Schizosaccharomyces pombe: one gene and its partners. The protein of the gene in region 1 purifies or fractionates together with the protein of each later gene. This does not show direct contact. Each region holds a gene or a part of one and is shown on either strand. Other genes may lie near its edges. The genes, in order: cwf10, spp42, ntr1 and cwf5.

Region 1 (7,979 bases):
AATCGGATAAAAAACAACATGGTATTAAGTTTTTGCGACTCTGTGGGGAAACAGTAAAGGACGACGCCAATGAAATGCTCCCTCAGCTTAAGGGCCCGAAAGACATCTTCAATAAAATGGTAGTTTTTGATGATGATACTAACGGCCTTGAAGAAGCCAAAAAGCGACTGGCTGGCATTCCTTCGGATGAAGTTGCTCTTACCCAAGCGCTTCCCCAGACTTTTGAAATAATTCCTCCCAATGATAACAAAGGGGTTGCGCTCAAGAATATTCTTTCAAAGATTTATCCATCCATTAGCTTGGAAAACGTCCTAGCTTTTGGTGACGGAGCAAATGATGTTTGCATGTTTGAATTGGCAGGCTATTCCGTAGCCATTCGTAGTGGAATGCCTGTCGCCTTAAAGGCAGCCAAGGCAATTTCCGACGTTTCAAGTGCTGAAGGTGCCGTTGGTGAAGTGTTGGAACGAATTTATAATATCCCTCCTGATTTTAATTAAATTTAACAACCTATATAGTATCTTTTTCCTGTTTAAATTATAACAAAAAAAATTCAATATCTAATTCCCATACAATAATAAATATCAAAATAACGAAAATTACAATACATATTATATATAAGCATTCGTAAACTTCTTTATTTACGTAGCCGCGGGTATAACTATTTTTCTGTGAATGCCGTGTATTTTTACTTTAGCATGTTAAAAACTGCTTTCTCTTAAACAGTGCCTTGTAGACCTTACGAGGAATATGAAAAATCAATACAAAAAGATGCTTTTAATTTAATCATGAGATCATTTTATAACATTATCAACATATGGAAATTCCAAACATCGTGGCATTAGTAAGTTTCCATAGAAAGAAAAAGAGAAATCTAAGAAGACTTTTTCTTCTCCTCTTCTTGACGCTTAGCATCTTCGCTTTTACCCTCCTCATCCAATTTGGCAAACACCTCAGAAGATAATTGGATTCCAGCGGCCTTGACGTTTTCTTCGAGATGATCTACTTTGCTAGTACCAGGAATAGGTAGCATAACCGGACTGCGTTGTAAAACCCAACTCAAAGCTATTTGACTAGTGGAACGATCAAGGTCTTTTGAAACAGCGTCCAGGATGGTTCCGGGTTTGGCTAATGCTCCTGAAGCTAAGGGATACCAAGGAATAAACGCAATTCCCTTCTGTTCACAATATTCTAACACTTTCTCATTCTTACGATTGACAAGGTTGAATAAGTTCTGAACACTAACTACCGGAAAATACTGTTCAGCTTCTTTGATATCGTCTACTGTAACCTCACTCAATCCAACATGGCGAATCAATCCTTCTTTCTTCATAGCTGCAATTTCAGAAAATTGGTCTTTGCGAGGAACCTTGGGATCGATGCGATGTAGTTGCCAGAGGTCAATTTGCTTAACTCCAAGTCGACGCATGCTCATAAGTACTTCTTGACGTAAAAATTTGGGTGCTCCACAAGGATGCCATTCATTTGGACCTGTACGAACAAGGCCACCCTTGGTAGCAATTATAAGTCCTTTGTAAGGGTATAAAGCTTCTCGTAAAAGATTCTCGCTGACCTCAGGGCCGTAAGAATCGGCGGTATCAATAAAGTTAATATTGAGTTCAGGCAAACGTTTTAAAGTTGCGATGCAAGCCTCTTTGTCTTTGGGTTCATCCCATATACCATCACCGGTAACTCTCATTGCTCCGAATCCCATTCTATTGACAACCATGTCGCCAACCTTGACAGTCCCAGCTTGTGAAGCATCTACGGCGGAAGAAGCTGCAGTTTTACTCATTTTTGTGTCTTTTGTCGCTTTTCTTAGAAATCAAGATCAAGTACTATAGTGGATCCGGTAAGTGTGGGATGTCAGACGCCGTTTCCTTTTATAGTAATTTTACATGGTGTATTCCTTACATAAGCTGGATTGATGCGGACTATCTTAAACCACGAAAACTGATTTATTACATACCCTATTTACAGAATCCAGTGGTATGATGTAAGAGCGCGTTAGACAATATATTGTCATAACGATGACTAATACTATTATAGTACGATATTGCTGGTTGGATTTTGAATTAGAGTAAATAGCTAAGTCCTTTTTGATTTGGCTCTTATTCAATTTAATGATAATTTTATGGTTCCAAAATCTGATGCTGGATGAATTGTCTAAACTGTATCTCTGTCTTCTTTTGCCAGCCCATTTTTATTCATGAGCAACGATGGTCGCACATAACGATAATGATCTTTATTGCTATGTTTCTTTCTATTCAAGATAATGTGGATTTATATTTTCCATCTTCTTGAATTATGCTTGATCGTGCTATCAAATCGTACTACGAGTTATCATTTGGAGACCACAAATGGGTTGACCAGTTCCGTAAATCGAGGTAAACATTGCACATAATAACAATTCTAGGACTGTATTTGAAAGGAAACACATTTTTTGAATTTAGTTGATGATGCCAGTATATTATTAGTGTTATTGACATTCAGCAATTTGTTGTGTGTTTTATAAACACACTAAATACTTTGTACAGTTGCAAAACTTGCGCTCTAAAAATGTTTGCACCGCACTTTTACAATGGCTATTTACTCTTACTATTGTCTTCGAAAAGCTTATAAATTTGGCTGCTAAACATGGGTCGGTAGCTCAAATCGTAGACATAACCAGTCTTTTAAGGTCTCAATTACACCCATGTACGACTTTTAAGGAGGAAGTTGGTAAATAAAAAAGTATATTTGGTTTTCAATAATTACGATTCATTCCTTTCTATCAAAATGAGACGATGTCGTTCTTCGGCAACCTTAAAGAGTGTAGTGGAAGTTACTGAGCCGATCATATCTCGTTTAGAGAGTATAAAGACAATGATTTCTCTAGCTCATTATCAAAGCTTAACGAGATATAAATCGCAGTTGAGACATGAATGCGCTAAAGCTCGAAAACTTGGTTACACTTTACTTCAAATTTGGTAATTACCAAAAGTTGTGCATTGTGGGTACTTGGCAGTAACTGATGATGGAAGAGGATTTATATGATGAGTAAGTGGTCTAAAAACATTTTATAGTTATTTCTAACTCGCCAGGTTTGGAAATTACATAGGCCCTGAAAATGAAGAAGATGAAGAGGAGCTGTTTCCTCAGGCTCCTAGCCCTACAATTGCACAGGTACCATCCTTTGAAGAGGTCATTCCTGATGAAGAATTAGAAGACGTTGAAAGGGCCGAGGAAATGGCGTTGAGTCATCTAGAGCCTCAGAATGCCGTTGTTCTTCACGAGGATAAACAATATTATCCTAGCGCTGAAGAGGTATATGGGTCCAACGTGGATATCATGGTTCAGGAACAGGATACTCAACCCTTAAGCCAGCCCATTATTGAGCCAATTCGTCACAAAAGGATTGCTATAGAAACAACAAACGTCCCAGATACTGTATACAAGAAAGAGTAAGTATGTGTAACAATGTCTTTTCTAACTTTTTAAGGTTCCTCTTCGGTCTCTTAACTGGGACAGATGACGTTAGATCTTTTATTGTTGCTGGCCATCTGCATCACGGCAAAAGCGCTTTATTAGATTTACTCGTTTATTATACCCATCCTGACACCAAGCCGCCAAAAAGGCGTTCACTTCGATATACCGACACTCATTATCTTGAAAGAGAACGTGTGATGTCTATAAAAAGTACTCCACTTACGCTCGCAGTTTCTGATATGAAGGGTAAGACGTTTGCATTTCAGTGCATCGATACGCCTGGTCATGTCGATTTTGTTGATGAAGTCGCTGCTCCTATGGCCATAAGTGATGGTGTTGTATTAGTCGTTGATGTTATTGAAGGTGTAAGTTATTCTGGCCTTTTCTTGCGTTTTGAAGATATAAAGATTCTAACATGCTTTAGGTGATGATTAACACCACTAGAATTATCAAACATGCGATTCTTCACGATATGCCAATTGTGCTCGTCTTGAACAAAGTTGATAGGTTAATCCTTGAGCTACGTCTCCCTCCGAATGATGCTTACCATAAACTTCGACACGTTATCGACGAAGTAAACGATAACATTTGCCAGATTAGTAAAGATTTGAAATATCGCGTTTCTCCTGAGTTAGGGAACGTTTGTTTTGCTTCATGTGATCTTGGATATTGTTTTACATTGTCTAGTTTCGCAAAACTCTATATAGATAGACATGGAGGTATCGACGTGGACTTATTTTCTAAAAGATTGTGGGGGGATATTTATTTCGATTCGAAAACCAGAAAATTTGCCAAACAGTCCTTGGATGGCTCTGGCGTTAGAAGCTTTGTCCATTTCATATTAGAACCGTTGTATAAATTACATACCCTTACTATTTCTGACGAAGCCGAAAAACTCAAAAAACACTTATCTTCTTTCCAAATTTATTTAAAACCCAAGGATTATTTATTAGATCCTAAACCACTCTTGCAACTAATTTGCGCATCGTTTTTTGGATTCCCCGTTGGTTTTGTGAATGCAGTTACTAGACATATTCCATCGCCTCGAGAAAATGCCGCTCGTAAAGCCTCTCAATCATATATTGGGCCTATAAACTCTAGTATCGGCAAGGCTATCTTAGAAATGAGTCGTGAGGAATCAGCACCATTAGTCATGCATGTTACTAAACTTTACAACACCGTCGATGCTAATAATTTTTATGCATTTGCTCGTGTATATAGTGGTCAGGTTAAAAAGGGTCAGAAAGTTAAAGTTCTTGGAGAAAATTATTCTTTAGAAGACGAAGAGGATATGGTGGTTGCTCATATTGCTGAAATATGTGTACCTTGCGCACGATATCGTCTTCACGTTGATGGAGCTGTTGCCGGCATGCTAGTTCTTTTAGGAGGTGTTGATAACTCTATTAGCAAAACAGCAACCATCGTTTCGGACAATTTGAAAGATGATCCTTACATTTTCAGGCCAATTGCTCACATGTCCGAGAGTGTTTTCAAGGTGGCTGTAGAGCCACACAATCCATCAGAATTACCAAAACTACTTGATGGCCTACGAAAAACAAACAAAAGCTACCCACTATCTATCACAAAAGTAGAAGAATCTGGGGAACATACTATTTTCGGTACTGGTGAGATGTATATGGATTGTCTACTTTATGATCTTCGGACTTTATACTCTGAAATCGAAATCAGAGTTTCCGATCCAGTTGCTCGTTTCTGTGAGACTGCGGTGGACACATCAAGTATCAAGTGTTTTTCAGATACTCCAAATAAAAAAAATCGTATCACAATGGTAGTTGAGCCATTGGAGAAAGGAATTTCTAATGACATTGAAAATGGAAAAGTTAATATCAATTGGCCTCAAAAAAGAATCAGCGAATTTTTCCAAAAGAACTACGATTGGGACTTACTAGCTTCACGTTCCATCTGGGCTTTTGGTCCCGATGATCGTGGTACGAATATATTGCGGGATGATACTCTTAGTACAGATGTTGATAAAAACGTGCTTAATAGCGTAAAAGAATACATTAAACAAGGTTTTCAATGGGGGACTAGGGAAGGTCCTCTATGTGATGAGACAATCCGAAACGTGAATTTTCGCCTGATGGATGTAGTGCTTGCACCTGAACAAATTTATCGAGGAGGTGGTCAAATTATTCCAACCGCAAGGAGAGTGTGTTATTCTTCTTTTTTAACAGCGTCTCCACGGCTAATGGAACCAGTGTATATGGTTGAAGTACATGCCCCCGCTGACAGTCTTCCTATTATTTATGATTTATTAACGCGTCGTCGTGGTCATGTCCTCCAAGATATCCCTCGGCCAGGTTCCCCATTATATTTGGTGAGAGCACTTATTCCAGTCATTGATTCTTGTGGATTTGAAACAGATTTACGAGTGCATACTCAGGGTCAAGCTATGTGTCAAATGGTATTTGATCATTGGCAGGTAGTACCTGGTGATCCACTGGATAAGTCTATCAAGCCCAAGCCATTAGAACCCGCACGTGGCTCTGATTTGGCGAGAGACTTTCTGATTAAGACAAGACGTAGAAAAGGTCTGGTGGAAGATGTTTCTACAACTCGCTATTTCGATCAAGAAATGATTGATTCTTTGAAAGAAGCAGGTGTCGTACTCTCTTTGTAATGTCGGTTTTAAGTCTTTATAATGGATTTTGCAAAAAAAAATAAATTGGGTAGATTTTAATAATAAAGTATACGATTATTTATGAAAGTTCGAGAAGTCTAACAACTTTTTTTTGCTTTCAAATCTCGCGTTTACAGTGTATGAAATCCGAAAAATCAGCGCATATCTTGAAGCCGTAAATTATTTGTGAAATCCTTGATCAGAAGGAAAAGTCGCATTTTGGTTTTACGATTTTAGTATATAGATAAATAACTTCTATTATTTATTTTTTTATGTTAAGAAACTAACACTCAACTGAAATAACGTAATTTCATAGTACTATAAACACCCGAGGTCATATGTCATGAAGTTACCCTCTCAGTATACCGGAAGACTTTAGGGACATATACAACTTCCGGAAGTGCTCTGCTTTTGGAAGTAAAATACAGCGAGTTTAGTTAGATTAGTTTATTATTATCCTTAAAACTGAAGATGGGTTTGAGACTTTTGTTTTCTCTCATTTGCGTATTTTGCATATCGAACATTTTTACGCAAGCCTTCTTGGTGCATCAAATATATGGTAATTCCAGCTTCACAAAAATATCTTTAAATCAACTTGAGGGCAGAGATTCTCAAGAGGAACTACAAAGGCGTCAGGAAATCCGATATTATGGTCGTGCCGCTGAAACTGGAGGAACTCCTACTTACTACGGGTATGCGACACCCACTAGCTCTAGTGAACCCAGTATCTTTTCTGAATCTGCTACTCCCTCAGAAACTAATTCTTACTCGTCTCCGGTCAGCTCTTATTCTGATCCCGCAACTAGTCAGCTTCCCTCGTCGACTTCTTTCTTTTCACCTACTTCTTCTGAATATACGCCTTCTAGTACGGAATCCAGTTCTCTTCTGGACCCAAGTTCTGTATCATCAGCTATTTTACCAAGCAGTACTAGTGTTGAAGTAAGTATTTCTTCATCAAGTTTGTCATCTTCTGATCCTTTGACTTCTTCAACTTTTTCCTCCTTGAGTTCAAGCACTTCTTCAAGTCAGCCATCTGTGAGCTCCACCTCTTCTTCAACCTTTAGTAGCGCAGCTCCTACTTCCACTAGCTCCTCCTATTTGTCTAGCTCAAGTGTTGTTTCTTCATCGAGCTCTCCTTCATCCTCCTCTAGTTCGACACTTACTTCCTCTTCATTAAGTACTTCTTCTATTCCTTCTACTTCTTCTTCATCATCTTCTACTTCCTCGTCCTTGTCTTCTTCCTCTTCCTCTTCTACTGCTTCATCTTCGTCTTCTTCTTCTTCCATTATTTCTTCGTCCTCCTCCTCTTCTTCTTCTCCCACATCTACCTCTTCTACTATTTCTTCTTCCTCCTCTTCCTCTTCTTCTCCCACTTCAACCTCTTCTACAATTTCATCGTCGTCGTCGTCCTCTTCTTCTTTCTCTTCCACCCTTTCTTCGTCTTCTATGTCTTCGTCGTCGTCGTTCTCTTCTTCTCCTACTTCTTCCTCTTCAACTATTTCATCATCATCATCTTCTCCTTCCTCTTCTTCTTTCTCTTCTACTACTTCTTCCTCAAAGTCATCTTCTTCTTTCTCTTCTACTGTTTCTTCTTCTTCGAGCACTTCGTCTTCTACGTTAACAAGTTCTTCTTCTTCAAGCTCTCGTCCCGCGAGCTCTTCATCTCATTCCTCGTCTTTGTCAAGTCATAAATCATCCTCGTCTTCTAAATCCTCTTCTGCTCCAGTATCTTCAGCTTTTTATCACAACAGCACCTCTAGCAGAAGCTCTAGTCATTCATCTAGCCATTCATTATCGAGCTTGAGCTCAAAACCAATTCTGACTGCTAGCTCATCTTCACTTCTAACTTCTTCAAGCCATACATACGAAAGGT
Region 2 (10,535 bases), on another chromosome or scaffold:
TGTCAAGCATTTTGTCTGAGATCTTTTCAATCGAGTCCTGTGACTCTAAGCAACTTGGTTTTTTTAGACCACTCTCCGAGTTTATTGAGGTGTCCAAGCAGGATACCATGTTGATGCTAGAAAGGCTTGTCGATGTGGTTGATCCAGAGGTGTACTTTGAGTTCGATGCTTTTGAAGACCTTGTTAATACCAAGCGGCCAGTAATATACATGAAGCGAGACGATATTTTAGGCATTTATTCATCTATTGCATATGTCATAGATAGTATTGCTCCTCCTGATGTGAACGATCCATTACGCGCTGTTGTCAATAGCTTAGGTCCTGTTTCAGAGCAAGACAATGACTTTGTGCAAGATGAAACTGACGTCAAACTAGAATTGAATCCCAAATTTTGCACTATAGAAAATCCCGTTGCTCAGGAACGGACTCTTATTGTTCAGACAAAGAGATATATATTATTTATTATTCGAATTCAAAATGGCCTTAATCTTTTGGAAATACTTGTCAAACCGGTTACAGATTCAGACGAAGCAGCATGGCAAAATTTATTGGCAGAAGAATCTGAAAAGAATGCAAGGAATTATGATTTGTTTGATGATTCTATCTTTTCAATGTCATTTGCAGAACTGAAATACACTGCACTAAGCAATATAGTGGAAATGGAAAAGCTTGGATTTGCAAACCGACGGAATAATTACCAAGATATGGTAAATTCTATCGCTCTAGATATCCGTAATAAGTCGAGAAGAAGGATGCAACGACAGCGTGAACTTGATGCGGGACATCAAAGTTTGCTTAACTTACGAGAAAAAAGAGCTTTCCTTGATTCGCAGCTAAAAAGTTATAACGAATACATTGAACAAGCTATGGAAACATTACAATCAAAGAAGGGTAAGAAGAAGCTTATTCCTTTTTCTAAACAGTATTTTCACATGCGAGATCTCCGAAAATCTGGACGCGTTCCTCGCTTTGGGTCGTTCAAGTACCCAGCTCTTAAACTCTATGACCGAGGAGTTTTGGTATCAATATCTCATATGCCGCAGAAAGAAAAATTGTATATTACTATATCAGCCGATGAAGTTGGCAAATTTATTCTGGAAGCAACAAGCCCGACAGTTAAAGTTTCGAGCCCAAGGTGTGAATTGCATTTGGACGACTTGTTGTCTGCTCAATATAACAAGGTTTTAACTTTGGATGTTTTGGATGGCCGTCTCAAATTAAACACCAATATGTTCTTACATTTGATTTTCTCCAAATTTTATTCATGAGACGTTTCACTTTGTTCATTTTTCCGTCTCTTTAACTACCCAATGATTTAATTCGAATTAACTTAAAACCGTCAAATATCTTTGCACATTAATACTTGTCCATATTCTTTTGGCGAAATATGTATACTATGTGATATTTTCTCCCCTTTAATTCTGATAATTTGCACAGTTTTCCCATTTCATTCACTTAGTGTGGGGGGTTTTTTTATCACTACTTGTGTTTACTTATACTGTACAAATCTTATTTAACTCGGTGTTATTTTTCAAATTTTTTTTTTCAACTAAAGCCGTTGAACCTGAAACACTAAATCAAGGAATAGGAATTTTTGGTTTATGCATACTAGTTGTACTTGGTAATTTATACTTTCTGAATTAGTTAAAGGTTTATAATTACAAATAACACTTTTTTATAACAAAATGTAATTTATGTCAATACATACATCTTTACTAATTCTTATAAGGCGATTCGATTGAGCATGATTATGTTCAAATTAACCTTTGGATATGGGTAGGTGTTTGGTTGACAAACTTCTTAAGCGTGTTGCATTTTAACGAAGAAAATTTGAATTTTCAAATCCCGTATAGCGTGTAAAAAAATATACATTAAACACGTATTATGAGCAGAAGACTACATAGACCTAATATGAAATAAAACGCACAAAAGAATATTACGCACAAATAATGGCGAGGGTCACCACCATACAAAGTAATATTCACTACCACAATTCAGCTGACAAATACCATTACCTAAATGGCGTCGTTACCACCGGGGAATCCTCCTCCACCGCCTCCTCCGCCTGGATTTGAGCCTCCTTCACAGCCTCCACCTCCTCCACCTCCAGGTTATGTGAAGAAAAGAAAAAACAAGACTCCAGCACAGTCTGGAAATCTTGAAAAGCAACTTAACGAAAGAGCACGCAAATGGCGCGCTTCTCAAAAATCAAAGTTTGGTGTCAAAAGGAAGCAGGGTTATGTTCAAACAGAGAAAGCTGATCTTCCGCCTGAGCACCTGCGCAAAATTATGAAAGACAGGGGAGATATGTCTTCTAGGAAGTTTCGTGCTGATAAACGTTCCTATTTGGGCGCTTTGAAGTACTTGCCACATGCTGTGCTAAAATTGCTTGAGAACATGCCAATGCCTTGGGAAGAATACAGGGAGGTCAAGGTTTTATATCATGTAACCGGTGCTATAACTTTTGTAAACGAGAGTCCTCGCGTAATTGAACCGCATTTTATTGCTCAATGGGGAACGATGTGGATGATGATGAGACGCGAGAAGCGTGATCGAAAAAATTTTAAGCGTTTGCGGTTTCCTCCTTTTGACGATGAAGAGCCACCATTTTCTATTGATCAATTGCTTGATTTAGAGCCGTTAGAGGCTATTAGAATGGACTTAGATGAAGAAGATGACGCTCCTGTTATGGATTGGTTTTACGAAAATAAGGCTTTGGAAGATACTCCCCATGTAAATGGTCCAACCTATCGTCGTTGGAAGCTTAATTTACCTCAGATGGCTAATTTACATCGTTTAGGTTACCAACTTTTGAGTGATTTACGCGATGATAATTACTTTTACTTGTTTAATGACAATAGTTTCTTTACGGCTAAAGCTTTGAACGTGGCTATCCCAGGAGGTCCGAAATTTGAACCTTTATACAAAGACGAAGCCCCAGAAATGGAAGATTGGAATGAATTTAATGACATTTATAAACTTATTATCCGACATCCCATTAAAACTGAATACCGGATAGCGTTTCCTTACCTTTATAATTCTAGAGCTCGAAGCGTTGCACTAAGTGAATACCACCAACCGTCTAATGTTTTCGTTCCTCCTGAGGATCCTGATCTTCCGGCTTTTTTTTGGGATCCCATAATAAACCCCATCACTTCCCGCCAACTCACTTTGCATGAACTAGATACCTCTCCCGAAGATTCTGCCATAGAAGAAGATCCTAATTTTGAAATCCCTTTCGATCCTTTCTTTCATTCCGAAGATATAGAATTTGAGCACACAGCCAGTGCTCTGATTTTATTGTGGGCACCCCATCCTTTTAATAAGCGATCTGGTGCGACTAAGCGTGCGCAAGATGTTCCACTGATAAAGCATTGGTATTTAGAGCATTGTCCTCCTAATCAGCCTGTTAAAGTTCGTGTGTCATATCAAAAACTTTTAAAATCCCATGTTATGAATAAGTTGCACATGGCGCATCCCAAATCGCACACCAATCGCAGCTTACTTAGACAGTTAAAAAATACTAAATTTTTTCAAAGTACTTCTATCGATTGGGTTGAAGCTGGTCTCCAAGTTTGTCGCCAAGGGTACAACATGCTGCAATTACTTATTCACAGAAAAGGGTTGACATATTTACATTTGGATTACAACTGTAATTTAAAACCTACAAAGACATTAACTACGAAGGAAAGAAAGAAATCTAGGTTTGGTAATGCATTTCACTTGATGCGCGAAATACTTCGCCTTACTAAATTAATTGTCGATTCTCATGTACAGTATCGTTTGGGAAACATTGACGCATATCAGCTAGCTGATGGATTACATTACATATTTAATCATGTTGGTCAACTTACGGGAATGTATCGTTATAAATATCGATTGATGCGGCAGATTCGTGCTTGCAAAGATTTCAAGCATCTTATTTATTATCGCTTCAACACTGGTCCTGTTGGCAAAGGTCCAGGTTGTGGGTTTTGGGCTCCCAGTTGGCGTGTATGGCTTTTCTTTCTACGCGGAATTGTTCCTTTGCTAGAGCGCTGGCTGGGCAATTTGCTTGCTAGACAATTTGAAGGCCGTCATTCTACAGGAGTGGCAAAACAAATAACCAAGCAGCGTGTCGATTCTCATCAAGATCTAGAATTGAGGGCTGCAGTGATGAATGATATTTTGGATATGATACCTGAAGGAATTCGCCAAGGCAAAAGCAAAACCATTTTGCAGCATCTTAGTGAAGCTTGGCGTTGTTGGAAGGCTAACATACCTTGGAAGGTTCCGGGTCTCCCTGCACCTATTGAGAATATGATTTTGAGATATGTGAAGTCAAAAGCAGATTGGTGGACCTCAGTCGCTCACTTCAATCGTGAACGTATTCGTCGAGGAGCTACTGTTGATAAAACCGTGGCGAAAAAGAATCTTGGCAGATTAACTAGGCTTTGGTTAAAAGCTGAACAAGAAAGGCAACATAATTATCTAAAAGATGGACCTTATGTAACTGCCGATGAGGCAGTTGCTATATATACTACTTTTGTACATTGGTTAGAAAGTAGGCGATTCCAACCTATTCCCTTTCCTCCACTTTCGTACAAACATGATACGAAACTTCTTGTTTTAGCACTTGAACGCTTAAAAGAAGCGTATTCGGTGAAGGGTCGCTTGAATCAATCCCAACGAGAGGAATTAGCATTAGTGGAACAAGCCTACGATAATCCACATGAGATGCTGTCCCAAATTAAAAGGCGTTTATTGACAATGCGTACTTTTAAAGAGGTAGGGATTGAGTTTATGGATATGTATTCTCACTTGATTCCTGTTTATTCTGTAGATCCGATGGAGAAAATTTGTGATGCTTATCTCGATCAATACCTTTGGTTTGAGGCCGATCGTCGACACCTATTTCCTTCCTGGGTAAAGCCTTCTGATTCAGAACCTCCACCTCTTCTTGTTTACAAATGGTGCCAAGGAATTAATAATCTTACAGATGTTTGGGAAACTTCCAACGGCGAATGTAACGTTTTAATGGAAACTAGGCTGTCTAAAGTATTTGAGAAAGTTGACTTAACACTTCTTAATAGACTGATGTCATTACTAATGGACACCAATTTAGCTTCCTACGCTAGTGCTAAAAACAACGTTGTTTTGTCATATAAGGATATGTCGCATACCAACTCGTATGGCCTAGTCCGTGGTTTACAATTTTCAAGTTTCATCTGGCAGTTTTATGGATTAGTGTTGGATTTACTAATACTTGGCCTTCAACGCGCTACAGAAATAGCTGGTCCTGCAGATGCACCGAATGATTTTCTACACTTCAAAGATCAGGCAACTGAGACCAGTCACCCTATTCGACTGTATACACGCTATATTGATAAAGTTTATATAATGTTTCGATTTACTGATGAAGAATCCCGTGATTTGATTCAACGATTTTTGAATGAAAATCCTGATCCCACAAACAGCAATGTTGTAAATTATTCTAAAGGTAAAAAAAATTGTTGGCCTCGAGATGCTCGTATGAGACTCATGAAACACGACGTGAATCTCGGACGTGCTGTCTTTTGGGAGATTCGTAATCGTTTACCTAGATCACTAACTACCCTTGAGTGGGAGGATACCTTTCCTAGTGTTTACAGCAAAGACAATCCTAATTTATTGTTCTCGATGACAGGATTCGAGGTTAGAATCCTTCCAAAGATCCGACAAAATGAAGAATTTTCTTTGAAGGATGGTGTATGGAATCTCACAGATAATCGTACGAAACAACGGACAGCGCAAGCTTTCATACGTGTTACGGAGGATGGTATAAATCAATTTGGAAACCGTATACGTCAGATTCTTATGTCCTCTGGTTCCACTACCTTTACCAAGATTGCTAATAAATGGAATACTGCTCTAATAGCTCTCATGACTTATTATAGGGAAGCCGCGATTTCTACGCCCGAGCTTCTAGATTTACTTGTTAAATGTGAATCGAAAATACAAACTCGAGTAAAAATTTCATTAAATTCTAAAATGCCTAGTCGCTTTCCTCCAGCCGTTTTCTACTCGCCTAAAGAACTTGGTGGATTAGGAATGCTTTCAATGGGTCATGTACTTATTCCACAATCTGATCTTAGATGGTCGAAACAAACTGATACTGGTATTACTCATTTTCGAAGTGGAATGACTACCAATGGAGAACATTTGATTCCAAACCTTTATCGTTATATTCAGCCATGGGAATCAGAGTTTATTGACTCTCAGCGTGTATGGGCTGAGTATGCAATGAAGAGACAAGAAGCTCTACAACAAAATCGTCGTTTAACTTTAGAGGATCTGGAAGATTCATGGGATCGAGGAATTCCTCGTATAAATACTCTATTTCAAAAAGATAGACACACATTGGCATATGATAAAGGATGGCGTGTTAGGACTGAGTTTAAGCAGTACCAGCTCCTTAAAAACAATCCATTCTGGTGGACGAGTCAAAGACATGATGGAAAATTATGGCAATTAAATAATTACCGAGTAGATGTCATTCAGGCTTTAGGTGGTGTCGAAGGTATTTTGGAGCATACGATGTTTAAAGCTACTGGATTTCCTTCATGGGAAGGTCTTTTTTGGGAAAAAGCATCTGGTTTTGAAGAATCCATGAAGTTCAAAAAGCTTACTAATGCTCAGCGTTCAGGTTTAAATCAAATCCCTAACCGTAGATTTACGCTTTGGTGGAGTCCCACTATCAATCGTGCTAACGTTTATGTCGGATTTCAAGTACAACTGGATTTGACTGGAATCATGATGCATGGCAAAATTCCAACCCTGAAGATTTCACTCATTCAAATTTTTCGTTCTCATTTATGGCAAAAAATTCATGAATCTGTTGTTTGGGATTTGTGTCAAGTGCTTGACCAAGAATTAGAGTCATTGCAAATTGAAACAGTCCAAAAAGAAACTATCCATCCTCGTAAAAGTTATAAAATGAATAGTTCTTGTGCAGATATCCTCCTTTTGGCTGCCTATAAATGGAACGTATCAAGGCCATCCTTATTGAACGATAATCGCGATGTGCTTGACAACACTACCACCAACAAATATTGGATTGATGTACAACTTCGATTTGGAGATTATGATTCTCATGATATTGAACGTTATACTAGAGCTAAATTTTTGGATTATAGCACTGATGCTCAAAGCATGTATCCTTCACCGACCGGTGTCTTAATCGGCATTGATCTTTGTTACAATATGCATAGTGCATATGGTAACTGGATTCCTGGTATGAAACCATTAATTCAACAGAGCATGAACAAGATCATGAAAGCCAATCCAGCCTTATATGTGTTGCGTGAACGCATACGAAAAGGTCTTCAATTATATGCTTCTGAACCCCAAGAGCAGTATTTGTCCTCCTCAAATTATGCTGAACTCTTTAGTAATCAAATTCAATTATTCGTTGATGATACTAATGTTTATCGGGTTACCATTCATAAAACATTTGAAGGTAATTTGACTACGAAACCCATTAATGGTGCTATTTTTATATTCAATCCGAGAACTGGTCAATTGTTCTTAAAAGTTATTCATACGTCAGTTTGGGCGGGACAAAAACGATTGGGACAATTGGCGAAATGGAAGACTGCTGAAGAAGTTGCTGCTTTGATTCGTTCTCTGCCTGTTGAAGAACAACCTCGACAGATTATAGTAACTCGAAAGGGCATGTTGGATCCATTAGAAGTTCATCTTTTGGACTTTCCTAATATAACCATTAAGGGTAGTGAATTACAGCTTCCTTTCCAAGCGATTATTAAACTTGATAAAATCAATGATTTGATTTTACGTGCCACCGAACCGCAAATGGTACTTTTCAATTTATATGATGACTGGCTTCAATCGGTATCATCGTATACAGCTTTTTCACGCTTGATACTTATCTTGCGCGCATTGAATGTCAATACTGAGAAAACGAAGCTAATTCTTAGACCAGACAAGTCTATAATTACAAAAGAGAATCACGTGTGGCCCAACCTGGATGATCAACAATGGCTTGATGTTGAACCGAAACTTAGAGATTTGATCCTTGCTGATTATGCTAAGAAAAACAATATTAACGTTGCTAGTCTTACGAACTCGGAAGTGCGAGATATTATTCTCGGTATGACAATAACGGCTCCTTCTCTTCAACGTCAACAGATAGCTGAAATAGAAAAGCAAGGCCGTGAGAATGCCCAAGTTACGGCTGTCACCACAAAAACTACTAACGTGCATGGTGATGAAATGGTGGTTACTACAACATCTGCGTATGAAAATGAAAAGTTTTCTAGTAAAACAGAATGGAGAAATCGTGCCATATCATCTATCAGTTTACCCCTTCGTACAAAAAACATTTATGTTAACTCTGATAATATCAGCGAAACTTTTCCTTATACATACATTCTTCCTCAAAATCTGCTTCGTAAGTTTGTTACGATATCCGATTTAAGGACACAGGTTGCCGGATATATGTATGGTAAAAGTCCGTCAGACAACCCTCAAATTAAGGAAATTCGTTGTATTGCACTTGTACCACAGCTTGGCAGTATAAGAAATGTGCAGCTTCCTTCTAAACTGCCTCATGATCTTCAGCCTTCTATATTAGAAGACCTTGAGCCCCTTGGTTGGATACACACTCAAAGTTCTGAACTTCCCTATTTATCATCTGTCGATGTAACTACACATGCAAAAATTTTATCTTCTCATCCTGAATGGGATACCAAAGCTGTAACTTTGACAGTGAGCTACATTCCTGGTTCGATATCCTTAGCTGCATATACTGTGTCAAAGGAAGGAATTGAGTGGGGATCAAAAAACATGGATATCAACAGTGATGAAGCTATCGGGTATGAACCTTCTATGGCTGAAAAATGTCAGCTGCTATTGTCCGATAGAATTCAAGGATTTTTCTTGGTACCAGAAGAGGGCGTATGGAATTATAATTTCAATGGTGCAAGCTTCAGTCCTAAAATGACGTACAGTTTAAAACTTGATGTCCCTCTGCCATTCTTTGCTTTAGAGCATAGACCTACTCATGTAATAAGCTATACTGAACTGGAGACGAATGACAGATTAGAGGAAGATATGCCAGATGCATTTGCATGAATGAGGAGCTATTTATTTTCGTAACTGGATTTTGGGCAATTAATGTATATTTTGATTTTTGCTAATTTGAGTGCTTTATGACATCTTGCTTTAGTTAAATGGAATTTAGTGAAAAAGCTAGAAAAATGGGTTTTTAAAATATCCCACATTATCATTATTAGTTTATAGTAATACAAATTTTTCATCAAGTACATATGCGTTAGATTATAGTTTTTTAAATCAGAGCACGTTTATCTAGCAGTTTGACACCGCAGCCGGGAACTGGACATACTGGCAATGCATCGTCTGTATTATCAAAATACCAAGAACGTAGACAGCTTTCATGACCGATGTGGCCACAAACGGGAGGATAAACGAGCACGCCTCTTAACGGTAGCTCACAATAAACACATTTTTTGAGACTAGTAACGGTCTTTGCATTTTCTTTACCTTTTTCGGATTGCTCGTTACCGGTTGCTTTTTTGTTTTCCATTTCAAAAATCAAATCTCTACTACTTGAATGAATGTACTTGAGATTTTTTGAACCAGACATGTTTATAAGGAGAGTAGCTTCACTGAACATTCCGAATCTCCTTAACAAATCAACATAACTTTCAAGTAAATCGTCTAATTGAATCCGTGGTAAATCTATAGTTAGGTATGAAAAAACTGAACAAACGCAGGCTGCCGTTTGGACATCTCCTCGAGATATACAGTCGCTTATAATCGATGTAACAACATAAGGAAGTTCAATAGGAGGTAGATCATCGATAGGAATTTCAGAATCAGTATCTCCATGTAATGATAACTGGTCTAAAAATATAGATGCTCGACGTGAAGAATTACCAGCACTCAATACGGCTTCTCTCGATTTGATTGAAGCAGATGTAACAGAACTTCTGTGGAATGAATTGAACATTTCGTTATGTGACGTACCAGAATAATTTGATGCTGCAGAATCTAGTAAATAGGATGAATTGATGCTTGCCCGGCTATCAGTTGAAAAATTATTAACCGGTGCTTGTCCTTTCTTTAATACGATCGGATTTTCTAAATCATGCCATTGCGATTGCTTATTAAGGACGGCTTTATCGAGATTGTCCTCGGATTCGATAGATGAATTAGAGGATTCTGAAGGAGTAGATGCTTCCCGTGGTTCAAAAAAATCATTTAATGATAAATTATCATGAGCGGGGGTTGAGGACGTTGAAATTTGCGTTAAATTTTTTAAATTTCGACCTTTCTCATCATCAGCCATAGAATTGTTAGCAGAAACAAAAGGAATATTTATTAATTCACTAATTCCTTTATCAGAATTGTTAAGTACCCCTAGTGAAAAATACAAAGCATCCCAAATTTGATAAGCAAATTCAGCTCCAACATTTCGTGCAAAAAATGCGTTCTCTTTACAAGCAGAAGAGATATCTCCTGATATGCGATAATTT
Region 3 (7,314 bases), on another chromosome or scaffold:
CTAATAAAACAATTATATCAAACTCTTGGAAAACCGAAGGTTTGTTTAGTACAGATATTACTTACTTGGTAATGTGACAACAAATGAAGTCCAAAGTTGATGTGAAAAAAAGGTTTTAAAGCAAACACTCCAGCAACTACAGATGATGTAGAAATTGTCAAAAGAAGGAATTTAGTAATTCCCATGTTTGACGGTACTATACGTTTTGTAAGTTAGAAGTCTCATTACAAGCCATTATCAAATGAAGCTCTAAAAGAAAAACAAAAAGAATAAAAAATATCGTTTAACTAGTCATTAACATACCAATATTGGCGCTAGACATGATTGCTATGGAAAACGCATATCCCTAGTATGTCAATCCTCGAATTAATATTGAGTGCAGCGTTGCAGTGTTAAAATACGCTATATAATGGAAGTATATAATACATTTATTCAAAATCAAGATAGATCACTCAATTAGGCAAATTTTTTTTATGAAATCCTTTTAAAGTTGGTAAAATTGTATATAAGTACTTACTTTGTGTAGACAACCATTTTACTTATACATTTTAAAACTCGTAATTCTTTTCATTAATGCAGCGCTGTTAATCAAGTCTAAGAATATTCATAATGATATTGATGCAAATCAATATTCCCCTTCACAATTACATTTCTAGTTATTGTTAAACATGAGGAGGATTTCGTTGAACCCAATTGGATCATAGGGCGTATCTTCGGAAGCTCCAGGAGATTTTTTCCAAATAATATCGTTTCGAAGATACACAGTTATTCCACGAGCTTTACTGGCTTGTGTTGAAATGCGGAACAAGGCACTACCGGTCGACAAATGTGACCGACGCAAAGGTACAAATAACAACGAATTTTCAGCACAGAACTCTTCAACAAGTTCGCGGAAACTCACTAATGGTTCATCGTAAGAAGTGGTATCGTCACTTTCAGCAGTGAACTCATGTTTTTCTTTCGAAAATTGAAGGTTGACCCCTTTAGTTGAGTCTTTTGCAAATGGAAGAGGAGCCGTTATGGATTTGTTTTCTAAGCATTCATTCATCATATCCAACCCTTTTGAAAATCCCTGTTGAATATATGCATTGGATAGCAAATCCTTCGGAAAAACGGATTTCCACCACGTATACCATTCACTTGCTTCATCAAAATTAGGAGCTTCCGTTAGCCATTGATAAAGGGTTTCTAACCATTTTGGAAAGAAATGATCTGCAAAGAGTTGCCCAAAAACCATAGCTTTAAACGATCCTTTCCAAGACAAAATGATAAAAAATATTTCAAGGTCTTGGTTAGATGGGTCAATCACTAACTCTTCATCCATTAACTTTTCCAACTTAGGCAATATAACTTTCTCAAGTAAACGGTCTAAAGCATCATTAGCAAACGCTGATCTCCAGACACTAAAGTCATCGATACTTCCATTCTTTATTTTCCATGGGGACAAAATTAGAGAAAACTGAACCAAAACACTTTGCAGTAGTGAATCTGCGTGCTTTTCCAAATAGGGTAACCACGGGAAAATACAATGATGCAGTGAATCATTTTTCTTCAATTTTAATTTAGGGTTCCATTTGCTTACAGCATCTTTGAGCCTAGGGAGTATATCATCTTGTATCAAAGAATCTTTAACTTTCTCTGGAACCACAGGGTCCCATGCTTCTAAAAGTTGCAAAGCCTTAAGAGAATCCTGAATAATCCATTTCTTCAGTTCCTCACCAATTTTTTTTTTCCAAACAAACATCATAAATGACTCATAGTGTGTTAAGCTTTGACCTTCTAATTCATCATCGAATTCCACATCAATATCCATAAATGTACTACTCTCTTCTCTCTTGGGCCTAAAGTCTTTGGAATATAAAGAATTTTTCCACGAAAGAAAACTTTCTAACATAAAATATGGATGTTTCCAGACATCCCAGTTTTTTATCGGTTCTGAAAGTACAAAAGCAAGGATTGACACTGCGACCGAGTCAAGCTCAAAATGCATACTTGCCTCTGAAAATTCAACCGGTAACGTTTCAATTAAGTTATTTAACGGCTGAAGTCTTTTTTCGATAACATCAATTTCGGCCTCAGGTACTGTAAACTCCATTGACCTGGATTTTACCTCCATAACTTTACCCAAAAGCTTTTCCAAACGAGATATTTCAACCGATTTCTCGTCGAATTCCGTTGTGACCCTCTTTAATTCCATTTTAACATAGGCGCGACGGGCTTGTAATTGTTGCCATGCAGAAGCATGGTGTTCACATTCAACCCGAGCAAGCCTGGAGAGCTGGTTAATTCCAGAAGTGGACATATCACGACCTTCTAAACCCAATTCTTCTTTATTTGAAGTCACAAATTCGATTTCCTTAGTATCATTTAAGGAAGCATCAATGAGACTGGCTAAGAACCTAGGCAAGTTATAACTTCCCATATCCTTTGAAATTTCTTCAGAGGATTTTAAAGGTTTCTTCTTTTTTTCTCTTAAAGGTTTTTGTTTGACGGTATGTTTCTCATCTTCACTATCAGAGATCTCACCACGAGCAATTGCCTCTTTCCTTTGCTTTTCGGTCCGTTCTCGAACGGCTCCCAATCCGACACGTTCGGGGCGTAGCTTAGATTGTACAGGTTCAGCTATACCCTCAGCATTGGCACCCAAACCTTGTCCTTGTTTATACCCCATTTTTTCCAACATTTTTGCGCCAAATCCAGTAGTATTAAACTTCATCTTTGGAATATTTTTCGCCTGAGAAACCTCATCATTTTTATTCTTTAACTGTGGAATTGAATGCGCCTCCAATAAATCATCTGCTGTCACTTGCTTATTTGCTTTAACTTGTTCAGATTTCTCAACAAAAGAAATGTTTTTTCTACGAAGTCTAGCACTTCCAATCCCCGAGTTATGAAAACCATCTTCATCTTCTTCACCAAATATTCCTAGCATGTCCCTTTCTTTTTGCTGCCCACGAAAAGATGGACGAAGACGTCCTTCTTCCAAAATTGAATCACCATCTGAATCCTCGGAAGATGAATTCATATCGACATACTCATTTTGCATATCAACCCAAGAATTCAATATAAATAAAAACCAATGAAAACCGAAATTTTCTATTTTGGGTCAGTTCTCCAGTGGGTTAAATATGGATGTCATATAATGAGTTTTTGCGCGTTACGTTCTTAAGCTTAAGAACACGCGAAAACGTCATTATTTATTTTATCTTGTCAGCAATACTACACTACGCTATGATACACTACGTTGCGTATCACTATATGTCATATGTTGGAATACTAGCTAAGATCCGTTTATTGATAATCACGGGTAACTATCCGTCTATATACATAGTTACCCGTTGATAACAACTATTTAGAAATATTATAAATACCGTTACAACTGAACCTCGTTCCTCAGTTCAGTTATGAGCTATATTAGTGATAGGTAACATTATAACCCAGTTAATACAATACCTATACTCAGTTGCTACTTATACAACCTGTGTATTGTAATATAATAGACCACAAGGAAAACTCACCGCAGTTCTACGTATCCTTAAATCAGATACCAAACTGCGTAGCTTACATATCTGAATAAGGACATTAGTTGCGCAAAATATCTATAGCTCTTCAAAAAATATCAAAATATTAAATTACAATACAAAGCTTTTTATTATAATAAAATTAAAGTCGTTTTTTTTATTGGAAACCAGAAATAATAATTATGCAGCTAACCTATTTTATTATCTGTTTACAAACTCTTAAGAAACATTAAAAAGGGCATTATACCAAAAAATTCATATTTTACTATTTGGCTTTCTTAACATCATTGGAAACATCCATACCAGCGTCTGAACTGGACCGTTTAGGAGGAGAATTAGTGTCAACAGAGTGAGTTTTGGCGATTAACTTTTTCTCTTTAACTTGAGCTGCTGGGACTTCAGAATTGCTTTTATTGGAATCAGTGTTTTTAGAAGCTTCCAAACTTAAAATTGCAGGGCTATCTTTTTTCTTCGATTGCTCCAACTCTGCTCGCACTCTAGCTAAGTTCTTTTCCAGCATGCTCAACTTCAACTTGTTACGCATCTCGAGTTCTTTTCGGATGTTATCTAGTTGTTTTTGATGCGACTGAGCAACTTGTTCCTCAACATCCTTCTGTAAAATTTCTCTGCGCTTTTCCCATTCCTTTTGCACAAAAGTAGTAAAGTCGGCAGTGGAAGTCGAAAAGTCAGATATGGACTCGTTGAAGATTACTTGAAATGTAACTGATAACATCTCTTCTGTCTTTTTTAAGTTTTCCAAATCTTTAGTATCAGCATGTACCGAAGCGGACTCTGCTTCCTCGGATGACACAACTGTCTCTTGCAAAGCTTTCACTTGATCTTGTAAAACCTGATTTTGTTTCCTGAGTAATTCGTTTTTCTGTAGCTCTTTTGCAATTCTCGAACGTAACCTCAAAACTTCCTGTTGCATGACTTTCTTCCTTTCCATTTCTTCTTCGTTGGGTATTTCAGTATCCTTACTGGTTCCCTCAGATTTATTACTATTTTGTCTGACCTTCTCAAGCTCCTCCTTCGTAGTATTTAAGATATCCATAATTTCACTTAGCTTTCGCTGTGTAGAAGATAGTTCTTCCTTAGTGCTATTGAATTCTTCCAGTGACACCGTACTTGGTTCAGACTGTGTAGTAGCAGTGGGGGTTGCAGAAGGTTTGTTGAGTTGTTCATTGAGCTGATGACATTCCGCAACCTTGGCTTCTAATTCAGAAGTCTTTTGCGAAAGTTGTTGACGTATTTGATTGTGCTTTTCTAAGCTCTTGTTAACTACCTGCTCATATTTAGTTCGCCAAGCAGCTGCTAGTTTTGTATTCTTCAACTCTAATTGTTCAATCTTGGATTGGTTTTGCGCTCTCTCATTTTCCAAATCTTCGCTTTTTGATTTAACAGTTTCCAATTCAGATTTCAAATGACCAATTTCTTGATTTAACTCCTCTATTAAGTTTTCTTTGGAAACAAGTTCATTCTTTAAGCGTGAAGCATCACTAGACGTAGATGTGCTACTGTTCAAAGATAGTAATATTTCTTGGTTATGACGCTTGTATTCTTCGTTGCTGTTTTCAAGCTTTTTTACAGCTGCTTTCTCTGTTTGAAGCTGTGATTCTAGTTGTTCTTTATTAAGTCTAAAATTCGCCAAATCAGTTTTAAGAGTTTCTATTTTCTCTCTTAACTCTGTGATAACTTCCTCGTTCCTTTCTAAATTTTCTCGGAGAGATTTGTTGCTCTCATTTAATAAAGCAACCATGTTTAGATAATTTGAACGTTCCCCAACGGATTCAGAAGTACTGCTAACATCCTTTTCCGTTATACCTCTTTGCAGATCGGCGATAACTCGATTCGATGATTCAACGGTTCGCTTGAGTTTCTTATTTTCAAGGAATAATAATTGTCGTTGGCATGAAATAATCTCCATTTCTTTGGATATACGCTTCACATGATTCTGTAAATCTGATAATCCTAATTTCATAACAGAATCTAAATCCGGGGATGGGCTAGTTATTTCTGCAAAGTTGAGATTGGAAGATTGAAGTTGGGTTAAAAGCATTGCGTTTTGCTTTTTGAGGACATAAACTTCCTGTCTCAAAGGATCTTCTTTTTCACTAATGGGAAAGGGCTGAGATTCGTTTATACCGGCCTTTAAGGCTATTTCTTTATTCAAATCTTCAACCTGTTCTAATGCCTTCGTGTAATCCTCGCGCAGTTTTTGAAGAGTCGATCTAGCATCGGCATGTCTTAAAAGTTCCTTTTCATAATCTTCACGAGTTTTTCTTAAATCTTCAGTTACCAACAACAACTGTTGTTTATAATCATTCTCCTTCTCTAAATGTTGCTTTTCAGCATTTCGGTGTGACGAAAGCTCATTGTTAAGATGCTTATTTTCCTCTAAAAGCAAGGCAACTCTTGTTTCGCTATCTTTAGTAATATTCTCACAGCGTAAAGAAGAAGAAGCTATCTCATCTTGTAGAATAACTATCCTTTGTTCAAGAGAAGTGATTTTTAAATGATTTTTTTCCAAGGACTCTGAAGTTTGCAATCGATACTCATCATACTCAGTTTTAACTCTTTCAACCATTTCTTCGGCGAGTTTGCTTGCGGCCTGTAACTGTTCAATATTCCTTAAAGAATAATTGTATTGGGATTCTAAGGAAGTATGTTTAGATTGCAAGTCACTAAGCGATGATTCTAGCAAAGCTTCCCTTTCGCTATAGGACGTATTTTTTTGCTGTGTAAACTTGGCTTCCAAAGTAGAAAATCTTTGTTTTTCAAGTTCAATGACGCCGTTTAATTCTTGGAGTTTTATTTCCATCATTTGTTGATTATCTAACAATTTCCTGTTGTCTTCACTTAACGATTGTTTTTCGAGCATTAATGTCTTAATCCTGCTGGAGTACTCAATTCCGCTCTTTTCCAAAGATTTCTGTAGAGAATGAAGATCATTACTCATCTTTTCATTTGACTCCTTCAACTTCTGCAAGGAAAGGCTTAAGCTTTCCTTCTCAGATTCAAATTTTACTTTTCTAGCAGCATCAGATAGCTGTTGCTGGTTAAGAAAAGTTTGAAGATCTGATACAAGACTCATTAGTCTCTCGCGCTCAGCCAAAAGTTTATCGTTTTCAGATATTAAACGCTCTTGCGTCCTTTTCCGTAAATCTTTTTCACCCTTCGAAGCATTTAGTTCACCTTTTAATCTTTCAGCAAGTGAGTTAACATGTAATAATTCTTCGGCAAATTTACTGGCTCTCTGATCCTGTCGACTAATTATATCCTGTAAATTTTGATTAATACTACGAAGCTCCTTGGCTTCCTTTTTAAAGGCTTCAACGTCATTATTAGCATTAGTTAATCTATCAGTAGATAACTGCTGCTGATATTTGGAATTTTCTAACTCTTTACGTATTGCTTCCATCTCACTCAACAAATCCTGATTTCGCTTAGACAAGGATTCCTGAATAGCTGTCATTTCGTTACGATAAACTTCGTAATTTTTCTCAAGTTCTCTTGTAGATTCATCAATGGATTTCATTTTGTCATCAATATTGCCCGCGGAAGAATTGTGAGACAAAATACTGCTTCGAGAAGTAGCTAACATTTCTTTCAGTAAATTTCGTTCATTAAGTAAGGACTCATTTTTTATTTTTGACGAATTTAACTCACTTTCCAAATTTTTGATTTGCTCTGAAAGTGTATTTGAATTTTCTTTAACTGCATTGGAAATTTGATATTGGACAGTTTGCTTTTGGATTTCAACATCGCATTCAAGGGCCCGCACTTTTTCCCG
Region 4 (5,834 bases), on another chromosome or scaffold:
CGATATTCTGCTAAGTAAGGCTTTCCCCCCTGAAGAACGGAGTGGAGCCAATTTACGTGGAGATTATAATACTGTTCATTCTTTTGGGAAGGTAGAACTGTCACCACCATCCACACCCATTTCGGACCGAACAGACCTCTCATATCACAAAAAACTTAATACCTTATTTACTGCTTATTGGGATTTGCAGTGTATGTGCTCCAACCCTCCTAAATTACTAGCAAGTGATACCTTACCTAAGTTTATAGATGCAGCTGGTTCTGCAATACAGGCATTCGAATCTATATTACAAAATACGTTCTTCAATGGGAAGTCAAACCCTACAATTGATCCAAACTCTAGCTCATTACTTTCTGAAAAATATATAACTTTGGATAAAGGATTTCCTTCTAAATATATATATTCTCGGTCGCTTTTTGAATACCAACTTTCAGATGAAGATTTCCGGTTACAGGCTATTTTACAATTAATTATTATTTTCGACTTTTTGCTTGACCATTCTAAAGAACGAATTGAAAGGAGAACTCTTGAAAAATGGACAAATAAGGCGGTAATTCCCATTGTTATTTTGTCTGACGAAGATGTATGTTCTTTTTTAGACTCGAAAAAAACTGATTTTATTGATTGCTAATATGTAGACCTCAAAGTTAAATGAATTATCCAAAGAAGCATATAGTTTCTTACATACTGCCCGGTGTGGTTCTGTGCAAAGAACCATTAAAGAAATTATACATATTGAGGGTAATTGGAAATTATGGAAAGGGCTTGGCTGCCCTTCCCTTGAAAAACCCCTAGTAGATAAAGCGGCTATTGATGAAGCTGTCGAAGGCTTAAAAAAGCTTACAAACACCCCAGTGAAATTAAGATTTGCTATGGGAAATGCTGCTTTGTCGAGGCTCTGGGAGCAGGCTGGAGAAAATACCCTTGATGATCTCAAAAAGGAGGAAAGGTACCGGATTCCATCACCTGAGAGCTTTTTATCTGGCGTTAAAGCAGACAAGTTTGAAATAGAAGAGGCAGTTAGAGATGATGACAAGCATTTCCATGAACAGTCCTTGGCAACGAAGACATGGCGTGCCTTTCGTTCAGCAATTAATAGCCATCTTCAAAACTTTTCGGATACCGGACTAGGTGATGTTGAATTGCTTTGTAATTCCATTGAGGGCAAACCGACTACATCGAAAATTACACCCTCTATTCCTCCAGCTTTTGATATTCATATTATAGAAGGAGAAGAGTTATTAGAGGAAATGAAAAAGAGGGAGAATGTCAAGCACAATTCTCAAAACTTTGCAAGTCCTATGCAAACAGATGCTGAAGGTGATATTGTCCAAAATGAAGAGGAAAAAGAAAGCGTTGAGGTTGAAGAAGGAAAACATAAAAATGACTTGCCAAAGGTATCACCTAAACCCCCAACTGAGGGTGTGGACAGTGAAGTAAACGGTGAATCTTTGGTTCAGGTTAATAAGGTTCTCAAATCAGAAGATGATAATACATCTGAAGCTTCAAAGGACCCATCTTCACATGTGAAATCTCCCGAAAATATTGAAAAACTAAAACAAAATGATGATCACTTTGAGGTCACAGAAGAAATTACTTCCACCATAAATTCTAAAATATCTGAAAAGCAAGAGAATAATGTTGCTGAAACTATATTGGAAGTAACATCTAGTCCAAAATCTTCTGAAAATAGTCAAAAGCAGTCAGAGATTACTAAAAAGCGAGGACGGGATGAGGAAGATGAACCTTCTGACCTTCATTCAAGCCCTAAAAGGCCAAAAACTGGAGAGGATGGAGAAATTGTATTATAATCATTAAATCAATTACACATATGTGATAAGTGCTTAGTTATGATTGAGTCAGAAAATGTATATATAGTTAATGTTTTGATCTAGCGTGTTTTTGTATGCGCTTATATAAAATAAAATTACATCCTTTTAGTAGAGCTACTGTAAAGATGAATTTCATTGTTTATTGATGGGTAAATTACGCTTATTTACTAAACTGCACACATTTTTTGACAGTTGAATACGTTCACATGTTCAATATGAAAACATTCTAAAGTCAAATTTTTTATTTTTCAACAAATGCAACAATAAAAGCGGGTTATAAGTACAGAACTTTTCCAATATCGATGGATCAGATTTGAAACAGACTTATACAATTTGACAACAACGTTGAATTGTAAAATATGTTTTTGCGTATTTAAACTCCATCCTATCAATTCAATACTAAGTCATAACTTGCTTTACCATACCACATAACACAGAAAAATTGATGCACTATGACAACTGAGACTTCGTAAAATAAATAGCTGAAAACTCTGCAATTGCAGAAAATATTCAAAAAAATTATATCAAATGAGTTAATGATTTGAAACACTGTCTTCGTATTTGAAGAATCCAATTAATTAGTTCCGCATGCATTATATCTTTTTCAATAAAAAGAATTCATCCTAATAACAGCGTACTAAAACTGCCGTAAACAGAATAATTATTTTTTTCACAAAATCACATGATATAGAAACTCATTAAGATAAATTTTTATTTTTTTTGTCTGAGATACTTGGCAAAGGACCATGTCTCTTTTCCCAACATTTCCTGAATTCTTCCATCTAAAAATATCAGAATTAGCTAAATTTTTTAAAGACATATAATTACCTGTTCTGTACATTTCCTCCAATCATGAGTATCCCAATAGCAATCATTCAGTCGAAGGTGCTCTTCTACACATCCACCTTTTTCAAGAGCAGTGTCCCATACATCTTTTTCCTCTTCTTCTCCGTCAGGAGTTTTTTCAATACTATCCATTCAGAAAAAATAAATTGATGCTTTATAATGTAAAAAATATGCAAAACCCAAAGTGTTTTGCTGAGTAAGGTAAAGCAGCAGATATTTGATTATTTAAGGAGAATGACCGAGAGACGACAGAAAAGGTGCAAAGACAAATAAACAAGAAAATACAGAATAAAGCTTGTCAGTATTAGAGAAAATAAGTTAATAGCTACTACAAAGGTTTTAAATGACCAACTGACTTCACCGCGGAATTTGAGATCGGTAACGGGGTTGATTGGGGTCAATGGGTATAGCAACTGCAGGGCTTTTAGTATTTTCATGATCTTCATTTTCAATGTTTTTAATCGTAGATTTTTGGGAGGTTTTATTTCCATGGGATGAACCTCGCATCACAAGGTCTGCCAACTTTGCGTTTCGTACTTCACCCTCAGGTCCTCCAAGAGAACGAGGTTTTCCCCATTGAACTTTCAGTCGAAACCCCTCTATAACAACATTTCCATCGGGAGATGCCGCCGCCGCAATCTCAGCACTAGAACGAGTTTTAAAGTTTACGAATGCGCATTTTGCTCGATGAGAACACACAACTGATTTAAGAGGCCCATATTGTTCAAAATGTTTACGAATTTTATAGTCAGCTAGTTCATCTTCGACGCCAATAAGGAAAAGGGATGCCTAAATGTTAGCACAATACAATGCGCCATCAAGCTTAAATTACTTTTAAGTCGCACTTACGATTTTTTTATCTTTAGGAGGTTCCATATTAATAGACAAGGAAACATTCCCATTAATAATTTTTTTAACCGGAAATAATGGGCGTTCTGCATTTAAAGATGCATCAGATGCTCGAGCCTCCTTTAATATTTGCTTAGACTCAACATCATCTAATTTTCGCTTAGGAGGTCTTGAATGTAATTCTCGTTTTTCTACCTTTTTAACAAGATTTCTTGCAGCGGCGCTTGCTTCCTGGCTATCGTAGGCCGTTTCGCCATTACTTAACAGGCGTTGTTGATTTTGAGCAAAGAATTCGCGATTAATATCGTTAGTGGGACCGCTTTCGACCAGTTTTAGGGCTGCATCCCTCAGGGCAATCTTCATGGAACGTTAGCTGACTATTATAGTTGAATGAAATATTGAACTTACCGGTAAACCAAATTGCAAATCAAGCATGCAACTCTGACAGCAGTTCTTATATCTGGCGCAACCAACACAAATTTGAGTTTTTCCAGGCTTTTGGCCGCGTTCTTTTATCCACCGAAAGATTGTACAAGGTTTTGAGCAAATTTTACATTCTTGTCCAAGTGGCTCCTTAGTCATACGAACATATGAATTGTCGCCCAAACAACGTTCACAGATGCTTGGAAATTCAACATCCTCCCATTCTTGTTTATTTATATCACCTTTTGGTCCATGAGACATATTAGAAACGCAATTCTCTTGCAATGCTAATCTTTGTAAATATGTGGTGGTGTTAAACTTTGCAAGGTGGAATACGAAGACTTTTAAGACAAATAAAATTCGTGAAAAACACATAAAATTTCATATGAATATCATTTAAATCTACAAATATATATAACTATTAAATTCACATATACAGTGAAGGGCAGAAGACTATGTTTCTGCGAATTAGATTTTGACACTCTTCCATCTTCGTATACATGGAAGAATCGCCGACGACACGGGCTGCTCCTCTGCATTCACGTAGAACTTCATCAAGTCTTATAATTGTTCTTACAATCGATCCTTCTAAAACGTCTGTTAAGTCTGTGATACGGTTGAAAGACATCCCTCTAGCCCACTCGTAGCAAACCTCCATTAAACCAAATCGTGGTTGTGATTCAAAATCATTACCTTCATTAAAATACAATACCTGATAGTGCTCTTGAATTTGATTAACTTTCTCGGCCACTGATAGTATCATTTCCTTTCCTTTTTGTAAATGAGGAGAAATTGTGGGTTCAACCTCCGTTTTCTCATCGAAAACAAATGCAGACAACAATGCTATTGTCTCTTCACAAGAAAAGTCCGCCAAACTGTTTTCCAAAATCAACTCTGTTAATACCAATTCACTGGTGGAATTAATTTCACATGCGACTCTTCCCTTTAGTAAAACAGTTCGCTCTGCGTCAATATATCCTAGTTCTTGCAATACTTTTATCCGTTGTTCGTAATCAGGCAGTAACTCTAGGTTTTGATCGGAAATATAGGAAGATAAGTTATCGATATTGCTTTCCAATTCATACTCTTGGTAAGCTAAGGCGAAATGAGTAAGAAAGTTTGGAGTCGAGATAATTGGATTTCCGGATAACTTGTTCTGAAGAAAATTTCGTTTTTCGAAAGCTTCACAAAATTCAAAGTCTCTGACTTTACTCCAATTAACTTCTTCAAAAAGCAGGTCGGAAAACTTTTTAATTGATGCAAATTGTTCACTAAGTTTTCGAAAAGCCCCCCCTCGACGGTCTCTAATTCCACCAGAATCAATTCGAAGGATCGTATTGCAGACTCTTTCAATACCGGAAAGATTGATAAGGCCATACTTGAATTGGTTTGATTCATCAAAGATAGCGTTATCATAAACATCATTGAACGCGTCAGCAAAAGCAAGTAAATCCGATGGTCGTTTGAGGTTGTTCTGTGGATTTAAATATGCAACTTCCAGTGTACAGTCTGAAGCATTGGTTCTAATGGATGTTCCGAGTAGAACTCCAACAGTGCGAGTAAAATCAAGTTGTTGAAAAACAATGACTCTTCCATCTTTAAATATTCTTTTGCCATTTGCAGTAGTTATTGCTCGGAAGTGCATTTTTTTGGTATACTCTTTAAAAGATTCACTGCTCAATAAACAACTTTTAATTTCTTTCAAATCAACATCAGACATTTCCTTCTTTAAAGCCGACAACTTTTCTTCAAAGCTTTTTATTTTTTCCTCGTGCTGAGGCACCAATGTTTGGTTAACGTTTTCACTAAAGCTGCGTTTAATCATGTCTTCAATTCTAAGCGTCTCTACACGTAGGAGGTTAAGTATCATATTATATGTTAAGC

What was found.
Region 2: the proteins of cwf10 (region 1) and spp42 purify together in Schizosaccharomyces pombe (affinity purification with western blotting; 2 studies listed by BioGRID, with this or other methods). This does not show direct contact.
Region 3: the proteins of cwf10 (region 1) and ntr1 purify together in Schizosaccharomyces pombe (affinity purification with mass spectrometry; 2 studies listed by BioGRID). This does not show direct contact.
Region 4: the proteins of cwf10 (region 1) and cwf5 purify together in Schizosaccharomyces pombe (affinity purification with western blotting; 2 studies listed by BioGRID, with this or other methods). This does not show direct contact.

The regions. Positions count from the first base shown.
Region 1 is NC_003423.3:4,049,591-4,057,569, forward strand, and holds cwf10 (GTPase Cwf10), read left to right. Parts: upstream 1-2,965; 5' UTR 2,966-3,010; coding exon 3,011-3,036; exon of another isoform or gene 3,037-3,080; coding exon 3,081-3,440; intron 3,441-3,478; coding exon 3,479-3,830; exon of another isoform or gene 3,831-3,889; coding exon 3,890-6,106; 3' UTR 6,107-6,389; downstream 6,390-7,979. Other genes in the region: odr1 (haloacid dehalogenase-like hydrolase ), read left to right, coding at 1-497; SPOM_SPBC215.11C (aldo/keto reductase family protein), read right to left, coding at 872-1,792; protein Mtl3, read left to right, coding at 6,578-7,979. UniProt on the Schizosaccharomyces pombe protein: Component of the U5 snRNP complex required for pre-mRNA splicing. Binds GTP.
Region 2 is NC_003424.3:2,648,719-2,659,253, forward strand, and holds spp42 (U5 snRNP complex subunit Spp42), read left to right. Parts: upstream 1-2,000; 5' UTR 2,001-2,019; coding exon 2,020-9,111; 3' UTR 9,112-9,306; downstream 9,307-10,535. Other genes in the region: rng2 (IQ motif containing GTPase activating protein), read left to right, coding at 1-1,268; SEACAT complex subunit Sea2, read right to left, coding at 9,326-10,535.
Region 3 is NC_003424.3:3,187,746-3,195,059, forward strand, and holds ntr1 (RNA-binding splicing factor), read right to left. Parts: upstream 3,099-7,314; 5' UTR 3,047-3,098; coding exon 653-3,046; 3' UTR 501-652; downstream 1-500. Other genes in the region: Golgi Dsc E3 ligase complex transmembrane subunit, C-terminal UBA domain Dsc2, read right to left, coding at 66-196, 304-322; nucleoporin Alm1, read right to left, coding at 3,787-7,314.
Region 4 is NC_003421.2:1,183,358-1,189,191, forward strand, and holds cwf5 (Prp19 complex subunit, RNA-binding Cwf5), read right to left. Parts: upstream 4,266-5,834; 5' UTR 4,212-4,265; coding exon 3,936-4,211; intron 3,885-3,935; coding exon 3,528-3,884; intron 3,468-3,527; coding exon 3,036-3,467; downstream 1-3,035. Other genes in the region: THO complex subunit Tho1, read left to right, coding at 1-583, 639-1,811; coa4 (respiratory chain complex assembly protein), read right to left, coding at 2,531-2,614, 2,661-2,810; Ski complex RNA helicase Ski2, read right to left, coding at 4,378-5,834.